Arabidopsis thaliana: one gene and its partners. The protein of the gene in region 1 interacts with the protein of each later gene in a pairwise test. Each region holds a gene or a part of one and is shown on either strand. Other genes may lie near its edges. The genes, in order: AT1G76590, AT1G10586, MBD4 and BT1.

Region 1 (4,746 bases):
AGACATGTGGATCTTGGACATTGCAGAGATGGAATCACTCACTGGTCTTTGGTGAGCCAGAGAGTACAGAGAAACTGGTTCAGGTCAGAGCAGACATAGCTTCAACACAACACCCAAGTTTTTATATATTTGGCTAATTATGTTTTATTCTTGCATATGTTAATTTCCCATTCTCCCTTAATTACAGTTTTTAGTTGCTTAACACAAAAGCTGTTGCTATTTTACTGAAGCTGTTTTCTCCTGTGTGTTTATTGTATCTCTGTAGAGTTGTGAACGTAGTTGAACATTGTTGTAAAATTGTAATGTAATACCTTTTTGGTTAATCCTACGTAAAAGTAGTATTAGCCACTACTTGCTAAACATTTTAAAGGGACATCTTAAAAAGTGAAGATGATTCTTCACAAATAAACCACAACGGTCACGTGAGTCTCGTGCTATTGACTACTATTGTTGAGGTCGGTCAACAGTGCATTGCCCCATCTTTACCTTCTTCTTCCCACATTTGTTTGGGATATTTTTCAATTTACTCACTTTATGAATACAAACAAAACAATAAAACTAATCTCTTTTGTGTGTAGTTGAAAGAGATAAGATCGCAGAAAAGAAGACGATGATTCGTCGACTTTTCTCCCAACATTTTGAACAATTAGTTGTTATGTGTAATTTTCTATAGATAGCTACTATCTGATTACGTGGATCACACTTCTCTTTTTATTATTATCTCTTTAGGTTTCTTATCCCATATAATATGATATCAGGTCTCTTTCTCGAGTAATACATTATATATCTATGTTGATTATTTACTACTTGTCATTTAAGATAAGATACTTAAAAATACTTGTTATTGGATTTTGCCGGAAGACTTAACTTTCAAACTCTATTATATGTAGAAGATAGCGGACTGAAAAATACGTCGAAGACAGATACTTCTATTGCATAATTTTTGGGTAGGGACTAGAAAACTTACTCGTAGTTTCGACATATCATCCGCAATCTCAAATTAATTGCAAACTTTTTGATCATATCTATTGAAACTATCTTTCTAGCTTCATTAATTCGTTACCAGCCCCCAATATAAGCTATCAAGTATGAATATTAAGATGGATTTAACGGTGATAATAGTAGTATGTACAGTTTCTTTTGTCAACAGCTGATAAAAAAAATGAAAGCTTCTAACAGTTTGAGCCTAAAGAGATCATATATGTGAACAGTTTCACACACACATAAGCCGTACAACTAATATAGATATCACTTTGACCGTAAAAATCTAACAGTTTAGATCACACACACACAATCTTGAAACTAGTTTAAAGCACTTTCAGCGAAAAGTACTCACTAGATGATAAGAACTCTTTGGCACGTAACAGACGCTTTCGAACCCTACGATTTCAAGAGGTGGCTTATGTACGGTCCACTCAACTTCTTCATCCGACGGTCTAAGATTGGTCATGTGGGTTGAACTACCAAAAGGGCCAAAAGCGTGAGCCACGTTACATTATAAAAGATTTTGTCTTTTTAATCCAACGGTTCACACCAGAATCTCCAATTCGGTTCTGTCTCCTCTCGTGTCGGTCCATCTCTCTGGCTCTTCACCTCTAGCCACGTGTTTCTAATTTTGACCTTTTAAAATTTTAAGAAAAAAACAAATTATTTCTTGTAGCTAAAATTTAGCATCCAAATTCCAAACTCAGAGTTCTCTTCTATGGCCGTATGATACTTCCAATAATCCGTATGTATGTGAATATCATAATCTATCACAAACATAATGAATAGTAGTAGATATTAAGACAATCAAATTTGGTAGAAAAAATATCTTCCTACGTTGGGAATTATGTAGGACCGAATAATATAGTCGGCTAATTCGATATTTTGTCGCGAACCACGACATAAAATTATTTATCATCATTTGTGAACAATAATGATTCAAAATTATCAATAACACCACCTTTTTTTTTTAAGTTCCTTTACTTCTGGGGTCTCTAGAGACCCACACATGTGCACAAAATATACGTGTGTCTCTCATAGACTTTAAAGCAAAATTAGAGAACACTTATTTTTAGCCAAAAAAAGTAATTAAAGAAAAAACTATATAAAAACAGTTTAAAAAGGGGATGATATTAAATGATTTTCATGTGAATTATAAAACGTATTGAGTATTATCGTGACCGACTTCAAAAAACAAGAAAAACCTCAACTTCTCTTTTTCAGCTATAGCCGCCGCCTCCTCCCACTAAACTCAAATCCTCTCATAGTCTTTTCAATCAAATCTGCTCTTCTTCACTGTTGAAGCTGGCTATCAAAACTCACAATAACTATGGTGATTGATTGATTCTCTTTCTTACTTAACTCTGTTTTAGTTTCTTTGCAAATTCTTATATTAACCATTTGGAACTGGTCTAAACATTCTTCAGGGACCGATGATGATGAGAGCAGAAGAAGATAACTACAATCTAAATCCTCCACCATGGCTAATCCCAATGCTAAGAGCAAACTACTTCATCCCTTGTTCAATCCACGCCGCTTCCAACAAAAGCGAGTGCAACATGTTCTGTCTTGACTGTTCTTCTGAGGCCTTTTGCTCTTACTGTTTGCTCAATCACAGAAACCATCGTGTCCTCCAGGTTCTTTCATCAACTTCAAATCATTTTTTTCTCTCTTACCAATTCACCCAACAGAGTTAAGAAAATGGGATTTTCATTACTTGCAGATACGGAGATCATCGTACCACAACGTTGTGAGAGTAAACGAGATTCAGAAGTACATAGACATATCTTGTGTTCAGACATATATAATCAACAGCGCAAGGATCGTTTTCTTGAACGAACGTCCTCAGCCAAGAATCGGCAAAGGAGTCACCAATACTTGTGAAATCTGTTGCAGAAGCCTTCTCGATTCTTTCCGTTTCTGCTCTCTCGGTTGCAAAGTAACTCTTCTTTCCTCTGTTTTCCTCTGTTTTGAATGAATATCTGAATTTGCTCTGTATAGTTGAAATGACCATATTGCCCTTTTGTTTGGTTTATTTCAGCTTGGAGGAATGAAGCGTGATCCAAGTCTAACCTTCTCTTTGAGAGGGAAGCATGGAAGAGAGTACGAAGGTGAGTGGGAATCTGATGAAGCGACTACACCAACTAAGATACGCAAGACATGTGCTTTCAACCGTCTGATGAGTGGTCTTTCCATCTCCACCGTTAAATGTGATTACTTGTCAGGAGATCAACCGTCTTCGAGCTCCGGTGATGAGAGCGGTTTTAAACTTTCTCCGGGGACACCGCCGATATATAATCACCGGAATTCAAGTAGACGGAAGGGCGTCCCACACCGTGCTCCTTTCTAAAATTAATACTAACGGAAGCTAATTATATAGTGTAGATTATAGAAAATGTGGTTGTTATGTTGTAACTAAATGGTTAGTAGTTTTTAACCTTTTGAGCTAGGAATATACATATTGTAAGACATATTACTTACAGGTATTGTTTGGTTTTTCTTTTTATAGTACATATAGAAATTAGGTATATACTGTACTCAAAGGGATTGAAATATGTTTTCATATAGTTTTTTTGCTGTAAATATACGTTTGAAGGAGGTATGTTTCTTCAACTTGTTTGTATCGTATACTGTGTACTATCTTCACAATAAAATAGCAAATATGATAACTAGGATTTTTAACTGAAGCGCTAATATTCGAAGAACTAAATTGTCAATGAGAATGATACAGACGAATAACGAGATTTAAAATAAGAAACTGTCGATCAAGACATGTATTAGTATTGTCAGAACACAAAAACATTGGTGATAAGCTGGGGCAAAAAACATTCTGGGTCTATCTATTTCAAGGAAAGGAGCTTCGACTCAAAAGAAGCTTATGTCATTAGAACTTAGAAGTCGATTGTTAACAACAGTTCAAATACTTCGTTTCCCTAAATTGGTTATCAAGTAGTTTCAACTTTAAACTCGTGCTATTAGAATTTTTTTTTTATTTTCGAACGATATAACGTGGTTCTTCGAAACAATACTTCGCTAAATCCTAATAACTTTCGGCATTTGAAATGCTCATGATGTCATGCATCTACCTTTTTTCCGTGGTTGCCTCACCTTTTAATGGTGTTTTGATGTTAAATTTTTTTATGTATAAGTTGTATTTTAGTTTTTTTTTTTTTTTTTGACTGACTTTTGGATCTAACCTATGATTTAAAGATCGGAGAGACCATTCTGATCTTTGTATCTGGCGGGTCTTGGGAGATGGTGGAAAAGAAAAACCTATGATTCGTCAAAGATGGTTGAAAGATGAAGAACTTGAATATGAAGGTTTTTTCGATTGGGACAAATAGATGAAAAATAAAGAAAACATAAATTACTATATGACCTTATAATATATCGAATGAAAGCAATATCATTCGACTCAGGTTTGTAATTTAGTGGTTTATGTTATACTGTTTCCATGTAATAATCTGAATTTTAATACGATCTAAAATCAAATATGTGTAAGTTGTTGATGAAAAATAGAAAATTCTAGAGTTTTATAATCTTACATGGCAGTAAAGCAAAATTTAGCAATATTGAAATCGTTCAGATTCGGGTTTACATATAGATTCAACTTGATCTCAACAAGATAGATTATGACATACAGCGTGAGATTTTTGGGACACAATATCTCACATTTGCTGTTCTCGGTCATTTGATGGCTCCTCCACTCTAACCTTTGATGATTTAAAGCAATGGAAAGGAAACGATAAATATATAAATATA
Region 2 (5,982 bases), about 25 Mb from region 1:
TCTTTGGCCGTATGGCCGACATCGTTCACCGGATAGGGGATCTACATGGACCGATCGTCTAAACGTTCACCGGAGGTGAATACAAAGACAGAAAATTAAACATGCCTAGTTTTGTTGAGTCTTGGAGTACTCCAGGTAGATGTTGGTCATAACTTTGCCACTGAGCAAACTGACATAAAAAGTAAAAGGAGCCGCAATATGATACTAACACTGTGTATATATCGTCTCGCTGCTTGACCACTTGCTTAGAAACTGAGTAAGGGACAATTATATCCTTATTGCATTTTCCACATGTTATTCTTTTTTTCCTTCTTCAAATATTTGAATTCGTACAAGAAGAGAATAGTCATTTGGTAACTATCATAATTCATAGCCATTGAAAATCCGTGACTAGAAATACAGATTAGCCCAATTTTAAAATGTTAAGCCTATAATTACTTGTAACTAATTCTGTGGCTAGAAAAGGATGATTACTTATAGTTAGAAAATTTGTAGCGAAATTTTTGTTATCGATCTATATATACTGTCCAATTTATATAAGACATTTAGAAAAAAAGATTTGTTTACTAGTTATGTCGTGTATATATACATGTTTTTTAAGTTTTAGTTAACTATATTCACATACAAAATCTAACCATGTGTGATTTTAGGAGAAAACAAAGATGAATGTCCTTGCTATCGCAATATGAAAAACTCCAAAAGTGGATCCAAATGCCTATGCCCTTGAACATGTTTTGAAGATAGTCATCAGATGCATAACATCTATCTATTCTATGTATGCAAATATCAATTACGACTATTTTAGACGGCGCCTGTAATAAAATATTTGAGCTTAAAATGCTCAATGAAAGAAAATTTGAGAGTTCTTGACAATAAAAGTAGATAATATATTTTATATTTAAACATGAGATTCTATAAACGTAATAGAGATTAGGCATAGAAAGAAAAGAGAAAATAAAGAGATTTTGAAGATGATGTGAGAGGCTTTTTCGTTCATATACTTGAGGAAATGGTATTCAGACATTTGATCATTCTCTTTAACTTAAACAACAATAGGGCTATTACACCAATTCACTCTTAAAAATACTCATAATCTCATGTTTAAAGAACTAACACATTTAATTTGTTAAGAAAAGACTTGTGATTTGGGATTCAATAATGCTTCAAAAAATTAATCATGAGATTATATCCCTTAATCTCTCTTCTATCCTTGATGGATCAATCCCGATCCGACATATGATAGCCTGCAAATATTCATTTAGGTGATTATTAATTTATCATATATATATAGTCCTTCAAAAAAAGTTCAAACTATATTTTAATGATATGGAACAAAGAGATGCTGCTAAAAAAAAAAAAAAAAACATGACACATGCATGTACCTGGGCTATGATTGTATAAAAGGTCCTATCATTCAAGTTCTGAAGATTAGCACTCATCACTTGAGCTCCTTCTTCTTCAAAAACACTCACAAGCTTGTGTAACATTACTCCTTTCATGTTTAGATCCATAACCAGATTCATTTCTATGATCGAATCCAGTGAACGAATACTGAGTTTTGGCAGAAGAGACGACCCTTCAGAGCGATTTTTGACTTCTCCTCCTAACATTCTCCTTTTCATCTCATTCAAATAGTTTACCTTCTCTTTCAGTTGGATCATGTATGATACCGCTTGATCTATAAGTTGAGGCACTGGCAACTGTTGGTGCCAATAAAAACACACAACCTAGTTACTTCCATGTCTTTTGTATGAATTTGGTTATAATCGTTATATGTATTAACTAAAATGTAATATACTAGATTTTAACCCGCGGTACACCGCGGGAACAATTGTTTTTTTAAATTAGTATATATAAAAGTTCGTAAATTATATCTATCTATAAAATATATTTATTTTACAGTTTACAACTGTTATTAAGTAATGTCCTTTCAAACCCGTCCCGCCAAACCCGTCCCGTAAAAAAAAACTACAGTACATCGTTGATTTAAATATATAATTAAAATAAATATTTTACGGGATTACAATTGTACTTTAGTTTGTCAAACAATTTTTGTTTTAAATAGTTGCCGAAATCTAGTTTAAATTTTGGAGAAATAAGATTTAGTGAATTGATAAAAAAATGTATTTAAGTGCGTTTTGCTCATTTTAAGGGATTGCAATTGTATTTTGGTTTGCCAAACATTTTTTGTTATAAATAGTTACCGACATTTAGTTCAAATTTTGAAGAAATCTGCGTGATATATGAGATTGTAATATATTTGAAATAGTTTTGAGAACGATGATTTTGTTACGTTTTAATACATGTACATTTTACTAACTGAAAATATGAGATTGATTATTTGTATAACACGGAAAATATGAGATTGATTCTTTATATTACAATGAAAATGAATGATTCAAAACTAAAGATCATAGTGTAATATAGTTTAGCTTAGAAAATAATTAAAACGATTTTATTTATTTATTTAGTTTTCTAAATTTTAGTTTAGATTCAGAAAATAATTGTTTAATTTCCTTAGAAGATGATAAACATATATGGAAGATTTGAATCTCTATATATTTTAAAAATCAATCAATAATGTCAATATAATTAAAGGATAGATTAGAAAAAAGTTTCTTGAATGCTAAATAATTAATTTGTTATTTATAAACAAAATATTAAATGCTGTAAAAACGAAATATTAAATAAATATGGAAAGAAAATTCTACCTTAAAATATTTTGTACTATTAAAACCGATTTTTTTTTTGCAGCAAATTAAAACCGAAAATTAATAAATACTTAAGAGAGATTTTAGGAATGATTTTTTTGAAGTAATGTTAGACTTTTTTTGAAGTAATGGTGGATTTAATATAGAGACATTTTAGGCAATATTTTTGTTAGGTAAATATTTGATTTAAAATGTCGATTGAAAAAAATAAATTCAGTGGCATTGAGTCGTAAATAAGTTCTAAGTCCAGGATTTATTTGTTAAAATGACTGCAAAAATGTATATATAGATATGAATCATTTGTTTTAACTCTACACTACATATAATGGTCCTAGCTGGCTTGTACTAAATACTGAGAACCCTAGCTAAATGCTGCACTTTGATTGATCTGGTTCAAATCAAGATGATTATCCCTTGATCAGTTCTTTGATTGATCTGGTTAAAATCAAGATGTCCATAGGATTTTCGCAACATAGCCCTTGCCTAAGCGTCTAGGCGCTTAGACAAAACCAACACATACATTACATCTACGAAAAATTATGTACTCTGTATATATAAACAATAAAATACATGTAGAGAGAGAGAGACGGACCCTACGAGTGGGAGAAACATGAGAAGAGAGTATGGAGAAGAGATGTTTCATGCGCATTCGTCGTTCTTTCTCTCTGAGGTTTCGTTGTTCCCGTAATGACGATGCGCTTCCTTCTCCTATTTCTCTCGCTCTTTCCATTCTTCTTCTTTTCCTTTTTTAGGTTACTATGTTTAATTCCCTCTTTCCAAATCCATCTCTCCCTCTATAAATATAAAGAGATAGAGAGAAAGAGCCGCGTAATTTTAGATGAAAATGATGTTTTTCAAAGAAAGTCATGGCTTTTCTGGTTGCGTCCATGAGCTTACACACTACTTAATTTATACATATATATGCTTCTTTTACTTTGTAAGTTCCACTCTTAGAGATACTAAACATGTCCAATATGTTTTTTACTTACTTGGTAAGGTTTTGTTGGACACATTTCTAGAACCTAGATAGTGTTACGCTAGGTTTTGTTCTAGTGAAGCTTGTAGAAAATGTGCTTATCAAAATCATTTCAGCAGAACATAGTAATTAAATTAGTCGGATTATATGTGATGAATTCTTCACATAAGTACCATGTTTGGATCGACAAAAACAACAAGGGAATTTTTTTGTTATACCATGATAATTATGTTGATCATTTGTAATAGGCTAGATAAAATTAAAGATACCTTTAAATGATAATGTAACAATTCCATGTTTAATTAATAGGTGTCCATATTTATTATCCGAATTACACTATACAGGTCACATATGCTAAGACAATTTGGTGTCAAAAACGAAGAATCTAAGATTATTCAACAAGCTATCATTATTCCTTACCGATATAAAAGACTTTGAACTATTTTTTGGCCGTAAAGCTGACATATTTCACCGGAGATGTCGTTCAATTATACACTTGACCAAGTCTTATTCTAATAACAAAAATAATAATTATACACGTGACCAATTCTAGATTGAACTTTCTAACCAATTCTACATGAATCGTTCACCGAATAAAAACAAAAACATAAAATTAAACCTCGCAAAATTGAGTCTTGGAGCCTTTGCTAATTTCTTGAATACTAAAAGCAGATCACTGTTGATCTACATATAATTATTTATTTCTGTTGTTCGTTATTTATCCATAACCAAACCATGATTAGAACTAAATCAGTTCTGTGGATGCGGTAAAACAATCTCTTCGTCGAATGACCCCAACCAAATATTCAAATGTACACTTGCTAAAACCCGGTTCATTGGTAGTCCGGTTTGGTTCGTAGTATTTGAGTCAATTTCATATCCCTAGATGTTATGCAGAATTTTGCCACCTAGACCGAACAGAGCGTTTTCAAAACTTGGAAAGGAAAAAACACAAAGCATTTAGAACATGATGGAACACATGTTAGCCGCAAAGAAGTAAAAGAAGAAAACCTTCATTTTGTCTTCTTTCCTTGTTTTGCAAAATCGTCCAAAGGAATAACTTGTGTATATTTATCTGTTTTTGGGTATAAAAGATATATATATATATATCGCCTAGTCGTCGCTGCTTGTTGTTGTCAAGGCACACATGTTTATTCTTTATTTTTGTCAAATATTTGAATCAAGATCAGCTACTATTCTAAGAAACTGGCTATTTCTAAAATAACACTCACGAATTAGCCATTATTTATAAAATGGTAACGGTATATTCGAGATTCCAGTCCATACATGTTATTAATAAAGAAAGATTGGATCTCCATATAAAAAATAGCTGTCTCTTACATTGTAGCACTAGCTAAAGATCTTTCAATACTACGTACCTAGTCATACAATTCTTTGAATATGGTTTTAAATTGTATGTGAATATTATTAAGTGAGAATAGTATCGACATAACAAGTATGAAATCTTTTATTTCTATATATTTTATTTAACAACCTATAACAAACATTTCACTTCAAATTCTCACTATATGTAGTCCATCATCAACTACTTTCTTTTCGCATATCTTTGAAGTTTTTGGTTTTACTAAACTAACTCTATCATAAAAGGAGAAAGCTTTAAATTTAACCAGAAATGAAGATGCCCGTGGTTGTACAATTCTTCATAATCTCTCTTCTCCTCACATCTTCATTTTATGTACTTTCAAGCGCTGATTCATGTAAGTGTATACTTAATCTAGTTAGTTATTTTTTAGGTTATTTATCATTTTGAAACTAGTTGTCTGAAATTCTAAGATTTGATTTGTGATGGTGATAAATGAATTAGCAGCATGCGGTGGAAAGTGCAGTGTGAGATGCTCAAAGGCAGATCGAACACATGAGGAGTGCCTTGAGGACTGCGATATATGTTGCCAGAAGTGTAATTGTGTTCCTTCGGGGACTTATGGAAACAAAGATGAATGTCCTTGCTACCGTGATATGAAAAACTCCAAAGGCGGATCCAAGTGTCCTTGAACATTCTTTGAAGATCCTCATCACATACATATTATCTACGTACTATATGTATGGAAATTACATCTATATATGTTTGATGTATGAAATAAGTTCTGTGAGCTTAATGAAAATTTTGTTATCTTCAATCCGATTCCTAAACACATCAAGAATAAATCATGTCGAGGTTTATATTTCTCAGCTTCAATTTCACTAAACGAATAACTTGGGATACTATGATGGAATGCAGAATTGAGAATTTACTCTCTCAATTGTCTTAAATTCATAATCCAAGATCTACAAGGG
Region 3 (4,452 bases), on another chromosome or scaffold:
AGAGGTAAAGGGGAAATAACGAGACTATAAAATATGGGAAGAAGTTAAAGAGTAGAGCTACTCCGAATGGAAAGTGTATTAGATGTGCAGAGATTCATAGAAATGGAAGAAAAATAGAAAAAGAAAACGAAAGAGAAGAAAAGTAAAGAAGAGACAAAAGCATTGAACAACGATGCTTTTGTCTTTATTAGCCTATTAACCTAAACCCCTAGAGATTCAGACACGAACCTTATTCATCTCGAATATCTCAAACCCTAAAGACCATTAAACATCATCGCTCTCTTATCACTTTCGCATTCATCATCAACTCGTCATCATATGTATGTTTTCATTCACATGGAGTTAGTCCAGAATAATAGACTGCATGCCGTTTAACGGTCTAAACAAAGACAACTTGTAGTAACGTGTTTTCTTACAAAATGACATAGCAAAATTAGCATGCATGGCTCAGGAGTTATCACATATCGTTAAAACATTTTGGGTTTGCTTTTAGCGATTGCCATTTGTCGAGTGTCTCAAAAGATTCTTGTGGCCCGTATAATGGGCTTTAGAATATCGTTCTATAAGCCCATCAAATTAATGAACTGAGTATTATTTCCGGGAAAGAAATAACGTTTTATGCAATTACGACCCAATTAACTTTATAGTTTTTTAAAACTGATGGGGAATGACCCAATTCAATGTTTTCACCCTCTCAATTGCAGCCATTAGTTAATACTGTAGTAATGTTTAGAAACTAGTTTCAAAATTTTCGTAGAAAAATTCATGTAATATTTTTAAAAATCATTCGATGTGCTGCATGCGTATTTCCCAAAAATTAAAGTTAATATGATTTAAGATTTTGTTCACAATTACTGCCACCAGAAAAAGGACGGTGAGATTAATATTTTACAGGTGAAAAGATTTTTCCAAGACAAGGTTTAATTTGACCATGCGGACCAATTTACTTACAAGGTGTCATGGTTTACAAAAGCCCGTTAAATGAGTAAATCCTGATCTGTTTGCCACGCTGGCAAAACCTCTCGCAGAGGCCCCACCAAATACTATAAATCATTAAATCTCGTTTAAGGCCCAAAAAATGATGCAGAGTTGCGATCGTAGAGAGTAGAGAACAGGGAAGGACGAGCGGTTATGTTAATCATGACGTCATCCTCTACGATTCTCACCGGAGATATAGATGAAGAACACCGCACGTCGTCAATGGCAGAGGAAGACACGCCTACGCATTCCCATCGACGGCGCTGGAGCACTCCTGTTGATTCCGGCGGCGAACCTCTTCAAAGCTTATCCGTGAGCAGATCTCTAGAGATAAAATCAGACCACGAGAATCCCGACGACGAGTGCAGGGAACATAGAGGTGTGTGTGGAGTTATTCTTGACGAATATTTCTCGTGTTCTTCGAAAAATAACAGTTACAGTTTCTATCTAGGAGGGAAGATATCGCCGTGGGGACCGTATGGACCGCCGCTGCTGACGGAGTCGAGATCAAAGGCGCCGTCGCCGCGGAGAGGAAGAAGCGTGACGAGGAAGCGAGATCTGCCACCATTTTTGACGACACTGGATTGTAACGGACGGCCGAGATTTCATCACAGGAGAGTGAGAAGCGAAGGACGGTTAGAGATTGCCAGCGTGGCAGTAGATTCACCGGAGATCGTTAGTGTTCGTGGGAGAGAAGGACTAAGAATCGGAACAGTGAGAATCAGTCAACAAAACGACGTAGTAGAAGATGATAATGAAGATAAACAGAATCACTGATCTTCCTCTTAGAATTTTGATATTTTCAGCTAATTTTCCGGGGGGAAAAAACGACATTGTAGTCCGATGATCCGTTAGAAACAAGATAAGAAAAGGGAATTATGGGCTTTACTTATGAATATTAGGCCCATAATAATATTTTGTTGCAAAACAAACCTGGGCCTGAAGCCCAAATAATTCGCTCAAGCCGACGTGTTAATTTATGATTTGTCCGTCACAGTGATACATTAAAGCACAGGCTGTGCGGTTATCACACTGTTCGCAGGAAGACTTATTTGAGAGAGTTTTACTTTTGGGGGACACAAAGATTTGGAGAAAAAGTTTACTAAAAAAGAATCTGGGGAAGTAAGTGAGATGAAGGAAGAGGAGGAGATCGGAAAACCAGCGAAACCAAAAGCCAAGGTAGTCCCACAATGACTTACATATATTTCGCTTTCCATTTTCTAGGTTCCGTTCTTTGCGTTTTTCTTCTCTTTATTGTGTTAGATGCGAACCTTCTTATAATTCCGGTCAAAGTGCATGCGTTTTTCGTGTTCTTACTGTCTTTGGAGATCTCAGATCCCGTATTAGTAGTTACTATTGATGGAGGAAGTTATACAAGGCATAGAATTCTAGGTTATCAGTTTTGGGGTTCACGATTTTTTGGTGCTTGGAAGTAAATTGTTGGTAGTTAACTTTGAAATCTTTGGTCTTGCAAACTTTGAGTCAGTCTCGTGATGTGTCGTTGCTTTCAGTTATTGCTCTAAGAAAGCCTTGGTTCTTTTCTTTAACGCTTGCTGGAGTAGTGTCGCTCCTTATTCTTGCCTTACATTATATATTTCTTCTACGCTCACAAGTCTTGTGTGGGGTTGTTTCACTGAGACTTAATGGCAGAAAGATGTTGCTCCTGGGAGGTTGATTGATACCTATGCTGCACAGTGCGATAACTGTCACAAGTGGAGGGTGATTGATAGCCAGGAGGAATATGAAGATATCAGAAGTAAAATGCTCGAGGATCCTTTTAACTGTCAGAAGAAACAGGGCATGTCTTGTGAAGAGCCTGCTGATATTGACTACGATTCTTCTCGGACTTGGGTCATTGACAAGCCTGGTCTCCCCAAAACGCCTAAAGGTTTCAAGAGAAGCTTAGTTCTCAGAAAAGATTACTCTAAGATGGATACCTACTACTTTACTCCTACCGGGAAGAAGCTCAGGAGTCGCAATGAAATCGCTGCCTTCGTTGAAGCCAATCCGGAATTCAGGAACGCACCACTTGGAGACTTCAATTTCACTGTCCCCAAGGTCATGGAAGATACTGTTCCCCCTGATCCGAAGCTTGGCTCTCCTTTTCCAAGCACTACTACCACTACTTCAGAGAAGAGCAGTGTCAAGCAGAGCCATAACTAATATGTTCTCTTCTACCTTCTTTCTGCTCCCTAAAGCAATGCGTTTTGAGTCTTTATAGATTTGATGTTCTCTAAAACTGTTATGATATTAACATCTCTAAGCAAAAAAATATGATCTTTTGTCTCTTCTTTAACCGGAACTCAAATGTTAAATATTCTTTTAATTTGGATTCTTACACCAAAGAAACACACTTATTCCTTACAAGTCCCCTCGTAAAACATTAAGTAGAGGCTACAACTCCGGGAATTCTCTCATGGCAAATCCTCATGCACCTTATAGTGAGCGGTTCCTCTTGAAGAATACTGCACGATGTCTCACAGACTTCCTCGTTGGACATGAAGCATCCGGATATGCATTTTTTATAGGCCTCCGGTTCGGTGTAAGACAGGCATTTTCTGTTGCATTTTGTCTGCAAACCCTCATTAGCAACACCTTCTCCTCCTATGACCATCATCTCTGGTTTGGACTTGGTGCGAGGGCAAACGGCCATGCAATGTTGAAAGAGTCCTTCAAAGGGGTTGCAAAATGCCTCACAGAAGGGATTGTGTTCTTCTTCTTGTCGTCCACTTGTCTCTTTCTCTATCTCCATCATCAACAGTTCATTGCACTTATCTTCACACTCTTTCTTCTTGTTGTGGATATCATGTTTACAGTTGTGCTTGCACTGTTCCACCACCAAATCTTCTACTGCACTTGACACTGTTGCACTTTCCAACACCAGAATAGCCCAAATCAGTGAGATGACTACTACCTTTGCTTTTGTTGGTATCATGCCTCTAGTCATGTTTTATAGATGTAATAGGTTATGATGATAATTTTTGTGTTATACTATATAGAGGGGTTGGTTAGTGACATGCAAGATTCTACAGGTGTTACGGGTACGTGTAGGTCAAGATTCTCCTATCATCCACTTGGACATCATGCTTTAGCCTGTGCATAGACGTGTCCAAATCCAACATAAGGAAACTCCAAAAAAATAAAAAGAAGAGAGGAGACAAGTTCCAATGACTTCAATTGATCCTTGCATTGAATTTGAGATGGTTTAAGGCAGGTGTCTTTTTCTCTTCATTTGTCTAATGGGTTCATTCACACACAAAATAGTTTCAGTGGTTTTGCAAGCTATATGTATAATCTCAAATTAGGCAAGGAATAAACTTATCATGTCATGGATAATGTAATGAGAGGAATAATTTTCCTCTCATATCTGTTATAATTTCCTTAGCATGATTTGATTCCCAATCTGCTTATAAATCATGGTAAGTGCACAACGAACCTATACATCACTTTACGTGTCTTAGCTTTGAAAAGAGG
Region 4 (5,643 bases), on another chromosome or scaffold:
AATCTTGGTAACATATTTGATGAACAATAATAATAATAAAAAAACTAGATATTTAAACTGAATGTGTTGAGCATGTTATTTTTTCGTGTTAGACTTTTATGTCAAACCATAAAAATTATTTATTGGAGAATGTATATGGAAATATACACTAATATACATCTTTCTCCAACTAGACTATACACACAATTAAAAACATTAAAAATCTACTGTTTTCAGTTTTTATAAGTACATCGCTGATTCATGATACTTCATACTTGGCTACTTGCATTATATAAATGGGCAATATATATCCAAAGTCCAAACTCAAAGGATAAGATCGGAGTATAAACATGCACATCAATCTCCAGTGCTTCAGAGTTCAAGTGGAATACAAACAATTTTAGAATAGAAAGTGTTCAGTAATATTTTAATTTCTAAACCCTTAAATGTGTTGGGAAGAATCTTACATGAAATCATCAAATCCATTAGTTTATTAACACTTTTCACTTTTCTCTTCCGTCGAAACTTATCCACAAGTTTTGGATTTTGATGTTTCGTTTTCTTAAAGAGCCATTTGTGAATACTTAAAGTTATAACAACAACATGATTAATATATCGAATATACATATACTTGTAGAGTTAATGAAAGGAAAACACCCCCGACATCTTATAATAAAATGTTATAAAACTAAAAAGTGTACATAAACTACTACTCTGAAACCTTAACACATTAATTTTCCAATAGTTAGAAACTTAGAATAGTTATATGGCCTTATGAGATGTCTACACTAGTTGTTAAATGTCAACACGGATATTGAAATTTCTTGGAACTGATTCTGAATTCGTTTAAGTACTTCGTTTAAGAGCTTGATGCGCAACATAAAGCTCTTATTTGACACGTGTCATGATGTTAATGGTTAAGCTTGACTGCCATATTGGCCTAGACTACCAGATTTGCCACGTGTAATATATGCGGCGAAATTTATTTCATTCTTCGATAAGTTCTTCAACATCCTATGATGTTCAGGCATTCTTAAACCACAATTAACAAAGGCCAGTGGCAGAAATGGATAAATGAGAGAATGACAAGTGGATAGACAAGAGGGCTTGAGAGTGGATGAGGATCAACAAGCCACGTAGACGAGGAGGTGGGCTCTTGGGAAGAGGCAAGGGTCGGTTTACTTCAATAACCACCCTTTCTCAAACTTAGAATAATACTACTATCAGCACTTTTTCTACATCACAAAGGCAAATTTCTTGACCGGTTTTATCACTTTTCCCACGTAGGATCAATAAAAAAAGATAAACATTCGTGACTTCATGAATCATGGGGACAAACATCCTACATGGTACCAAAAGTAAAATACATTACTTGTTTTATTGTCATCCCAAACATTACAAAGGGCCAAAGGCAATATTATTTCTAGATACTTTCAGTGGAAAGTATTAATATATGTGTGTAATGTTGGGAATAAAATATAGTCGACATTGGTGTATCGAAAGGTCCATTTAAAAACATAATATATTGTAATGATCTATAGGTTAGATCCTGTTGGTATATCAGGTTGGGAATAAGAAAATACTTTTGTTATACAATGTATTATAGAATATGTTGTGTTAGGGGGCACTGCGGCTATTTGACAATGTTTGAGGCATATTAGTCCTAGGGAAGTTTATAATAAGCTGCATCACCAAATCCTTTATACATATCTAAGCGTAGTAAGATGAATGTAACTGATCATAGATTTTAACATATGATATGAGCTCTGAATGGAGAAAATATATTTATCTAATTAAATAAAATATGTCATTCGGGTCCAAAAATGATATGCAGACTTAAATTTTCAAACTATTCAAACTAGGAAAATAAAATTGAACTTATCTTCTGGAGATTTTTTTTTTTTTAAATTGTGCTTTGTATATTTATTAGTCCAATATAAACATAAATGAGATAAGTACACATAGGCTTTTTGTTGTTGGGTTTGTTCACATTTGTTAGTTCTTTTTTTCTGTCAAACAGTAGTATATTTTCAGTTTTTCTGCTTCAAATTTTGTAAGCAAGAAGTTCTGTTTCATTTTAGTTTATAAAAATTTATAACAACATGTAACTATATGCTTTTAAAGTAGACTCAAATACTGGGTGTTATCTGTGTATAGATTAAGATACAACTAATTGTATCTGTGTCTTAGTGTCTATATATACGATTATCTATTTATCAAAACGGAAAAACCATAGCCAATTACTTGCATTTGGGTTGGTGTTAAAGACAACCGCAAATTATTTATCAATGAATCATAACTTATCTCAGAGAAATACAGATCTGAGACCCCAAAACTCCTGAATATACAGTTCACTACTTTTATTTCCAATTATTCTGGTTACCAAAAAAACAGAGATTAATTGACATACACGCATCTACAAAGGCGCGTAGGGTAAAACAGAAACAAAAACAAGATATTTATCATAAAAAAATGCCACGTGTTATTAACAAGTAATCAAAAAGGACCAGACTTCGTTGAGCTGTGTCTATAAAATCCAGAGAAGCAATGCCCTCAAGCTTCTCCATCATCAAATTAAAACCCTCCAGCCTCCAACAACAAAATTTACCAACACTCTCTCTTTCTCTTTCTCTCTGAAAACTTAAAACGATGGCTATAACCGCCACTCAAAACGACGGCGTTTCACTAAACGCCAATAAGATTTCGTATGATCTTGTGGAAACTGATGTTGAGATCATCACCTCCGGTCGTCGTAGTATTCCGGCACACTCCGGCATCCTCGTAAGTTTCTTTTCTTCTTACTTTCTTTGTATGATCGAATATTTTTTTATTTTGGTGCTTATCTTTTTTGTTTGTTTAAAATTGTTAAATGCAGGCTTCGGTCTCACCGGTACTGACGAACATCATCGAGAAGCCGAGGAAGATTCACGGCGGATCATCGAAGAAAGTTATTAAGATTCTCGGTGTTCCATGCGACGCCGTTTCAGTCTTCGTCAGATTCCTCTATTCTCCGAGGTTCGTCTTTCTCTCTTTTTCATATCTTCTTGATCGTCAGATTTTTTTTTTTAATCCGTAGATTTATTACTTCAAAAATACAAATCATACTAAAAAGAATGCTTGATTAAATACATCATCTTAAAGATCTTTACCAAACTCGACTTTTCCAACGTTTTAATCATACATTAAAATCACTACAACCAGATTGCGATTGATTTAGACTTGTTTCATATTCAAAAACGTGTGAAACACAACACAAGGAACACGAAACTAGTACCAACATCAAATTTGAATAAATCAACGGCAAATTTTACCCTTAGTATGCAAAATGACTAGAATACCCCTATATGTATCTTTTGTTTAGTGTCACGGAGAATGAGATGGAAAAATACGGAATCCATCTACTGGCTTTATCACACGTGTATATGGTGACTCAGTTAAAGCAACGGTGCACTAAAGGCGTCGGTGAGAGAGTAACCGCCGAAAACGTTGTCGATATTCTCCAGCTGGCTCGTCTCTGCGACGCACCTGACCTCTGTCTCAAGTGTATGCGATTCATTCACTACAAGTTCAAGACCGTTGAACAGACAGAAGGATGGAAGTTTCTTCAAGAACACGATCCTTTTCTTGAACTTGACATTCTCCAATTCATCGACGATGCAGAATCGGTAATTAACTCAAACCACACTTTTTTGTTTTCTTTTTTTTTGGTTCTTCAAGAAAACTCTGTTTTATTGAATTAGGTTTCTTTTGGGTCAATTTCTTGCAGAGGAAGAAAAGAAGAAGGAGACACAGACGAGAACAGAATCTGTATTTGCAGCTGAGTGAAGCCATGGAATGTATAGAACACATATGCACCGAAGGTTGCACACTGGTCGGACCATCGTCTAACTTAGACAACAAGTCAACATGTCAAGCAAAACCCGGTCCATGCAGTGCGTTTTCGACTTGTTACGGACTTCAACTTCTTATACGTCACTTTGCAGTATGCAAGAAAAGAGTCGATGGCAAAGGTTGTGTCCGATGCAAGAGAATGATTCAACTCCTTAGACTCCATTCTTCGATTTGTGACCAATCTGAATCTTGCCGTGTCCCTCTTTGCAGGTAAAAATCCGACATTTTAGAATAATCAAAACCACATTTTAAATGTTTCTAATGATAAAAGTTTTTCACTTTTCGATAGTAGATCTCATTTGATTTTTTTTTAACTTTCGGCGCCAATAATAATTATCTTTTTGTGGTGGTAGCCTACTTATTAGATGATGAGTCGTGATCGGACGGCTGGAAATATTTTGTTTGGTAGAATTATTAAAAGATATTTTAAGAAATGAGAATCTGATCTCGTTGTCAACTTTTTATTTGTTTTGGTGATTGGAGTAGGCAATATAAGAATAGAGGTGAAAAGGACAAGAAAATGGTTGAGGACACGAAGTGGAAGGTTCTGGTGAGAAGAGTAGCGTCTGCTAAAGCCATGTCTTCGTTGTCTCAATCAAAGAAGAAAAAAAGTGAAGTGTTATTTAAAGAAGAAGCAGAAGATTTGATCAGAATCCGGAACAAGTTAATGTGAATATACAATATATGTGTTTTTATTAGATTATATAGTGAGCGATTGTTAGAAGCCATTAATTACTTGAGTCGGAAGGTTTATTTGTTTGTTATTTGTCTCTCGGACTGGTTGATTGGGTTAAACTTGTCAATGAGTAACCCTTTGAATCTGTCGTTTTGTTTGGTCGGTCGAATTATATAGAAATGTATTATTGGTTATAAAATGGTATTAGGGTTTTTGGAGACTTTGTGGCAAAAAGTATACAGATTGATCCGGTTTAAACTAGCTAACGTCAAACGCAAAAGGATTACTGAATCTAAAGTAATGTGACAAGATGGAAACAAAATAATTATTCTCTTTGTAGTTGATTGGTCATGCCAAATTATATGACTAGACCTGGTTGCATATGAATCACAAAAAATCTAAATGAGATTCAAGTTGGATCGGTCTAATCAATCACAATAGCTTCAACCATGCATGATACAAAGGAGAATTTTGATGGAAATAATAGAAATTCAATATTGGAGATCAAAATTGACCAACCGGTCTTAGTCACTGGTATAGTGGAAGGTTGATCATGATTGAGGATTCAAAAGCAAACAAGGCAAATTATTAGAAAAAAACATGTGCTTATAATTAGTTAAAACAGAGATATTTTTATTAAATTCTTCATTCATACTTGGGTTCGACTGGAAAAAGGAAAGACGCGTGGGGGACAGATGAACCACGCAATGTGGTTTCGTGTCGGATGTCAATTACTCTTACATTTCAGTTCATACTTCTTAACTACCAGATGAATGCACTTAATAAAAAAAAAATCAAATACAAGAATTGTTCTTTTGAAATGGAAATGAATATTTTCATGTTATAACACGAGTTTTGACATAAAAAGGTTAAACAACTCGAGCAAGTTCATTCACTAAAGTTTCAACATGAAACTTATTCTAAATTGTTATTTTTACATATTTTGAAGAAAAAAAACAAAAAAGAAGATGACAATATCAACCCGTAAAGCTTTCTGAGTAGTGGAGCAATGCAGTCACCGATGTTTTAATACTAACGACAACAATGATTCTTATCATGACGATAGAGGTGACTAAAGATTCGACCACGTATGAATT

The links.
Region 2: the proteins of AT1G76590 (region 1) and AT1G10586 interact in a two-hybrid assay, tested with the Arabidopsis thaliana proteins (one large-scale study listed by BioGRID).
Region 3: the proteins of AT1G76590 (region 1) and MBD4 interact in a two-hybrid assay, tested with the Arabidopsis thaliana proteins (one large-scale study listed by BioGRID).
Region 4: the proteins of AT1G76590 (region 1) and BT1 interact in a two-hybrid assay, tested with the Arabidopsis thaliana proteins (one large-scale study listed by BioGRID).

The regions. Positions count from the first base shown.
Region 1 is NC_003070.9:28,738,561-28,743,306, forward strand, and holds AT1G76590 (PLATZ transcription factor family protein), read left to right. Parts: upstream 1-1,979; 5' UTR 1,980-2,314; coding exon 2,315-2,317; intron 2,318-2,411; coding exon 2,412-2,621; intron 2,622-2,707; coding exon 2,708-2,923; intron 2,924-3,025; coding exon 3,026-3,334; 3' UTR 3,335-3,671; downstream 3,672-4,746.
Region 2 is NC_003070.9:3,495,956-3,501,937, forward strand, and holds AT1G10586 (basic helix-loop-helix (bHLH) DNA-binding superfamily protein), read right to left. Parts: upstream 3,485-5,982; 5' UTR 3,442-3,484; coding exon 3,304-3,441; intron 1,722-3,303; exon of another isoform or gene 1,701-1,721; coding exon 1,383-1,700; intron 1,245-1,382; coding exon 1,176-1,244; 3' UTR 973-1,175; downstream 1-972. Other genes in the region: AT1G10588 (Gibberellin-regulated family protein), read left to right, coding at 5,321-5,405, 5,513-5,700.
Region 3 is NC_003074.8:23,293,285-23,297,736, forward strand, and holds MBD4 (methyl-CPG-binding domain 4), read left to right. Parts: upstream 1-2,000; 5' UTR 2,001-2,109; coding exon 2,110-2,157; intron 2,158-2,628; coding exon 2,629-3,141; 3' UTR 3,142-3,342; downstream 3,343-4,452. Other genes in the region: AT3G63020 (hypothetical protein (DUF3049)), read left to right, coding at 1,141-1,755; AT3G63040 (uncharacterized protein), read right to left, coding at 3,362-3,925. UniProt on the Arabidopsis thaliana protein: Transcriptional regulator that binds CpG, CpNpN and CpNpG (N is A, T, or C) islands in promoters regardless the DNA methylation status. Plays probably a role in gene silencing.
Region 4 is NC_003076.8:25,332,385-25,338,027, reverse strand, and holds BT1 (BTB and TAZ domain protein 1), read left to right. Parts: upstream 1-2,457; 5' UTR 2,458-2,628; coding exon 2,629-2,760; intron 2,761-2,854; coding exon 2,855-2,994; exon of another isoform or gene 2,995-3,323; coding exon of another isoform or gene 3,324-3,340; coding exon 3,341-3,644; intron 3,645-3,745; coding exon 3,746-4,080; coding exon of another isoform or gene 4,081-4,084; exon of another isoform or gene 4,085-4,356; coding exon 4,357-4,543; 3' UTR 4,544-4,856; downstream 4,857-5,643. UniProt on the Arabidopsis thaliana protein: May act as a substrate-specific adapter of an E3 ubiquitin-protein ligase complex (CUL3-RBX1-BTB) which mediates the ubiquitination and subsequent proteasomal degradation of target proteins. Also targeted for degradation by the 26S proteasome pathway.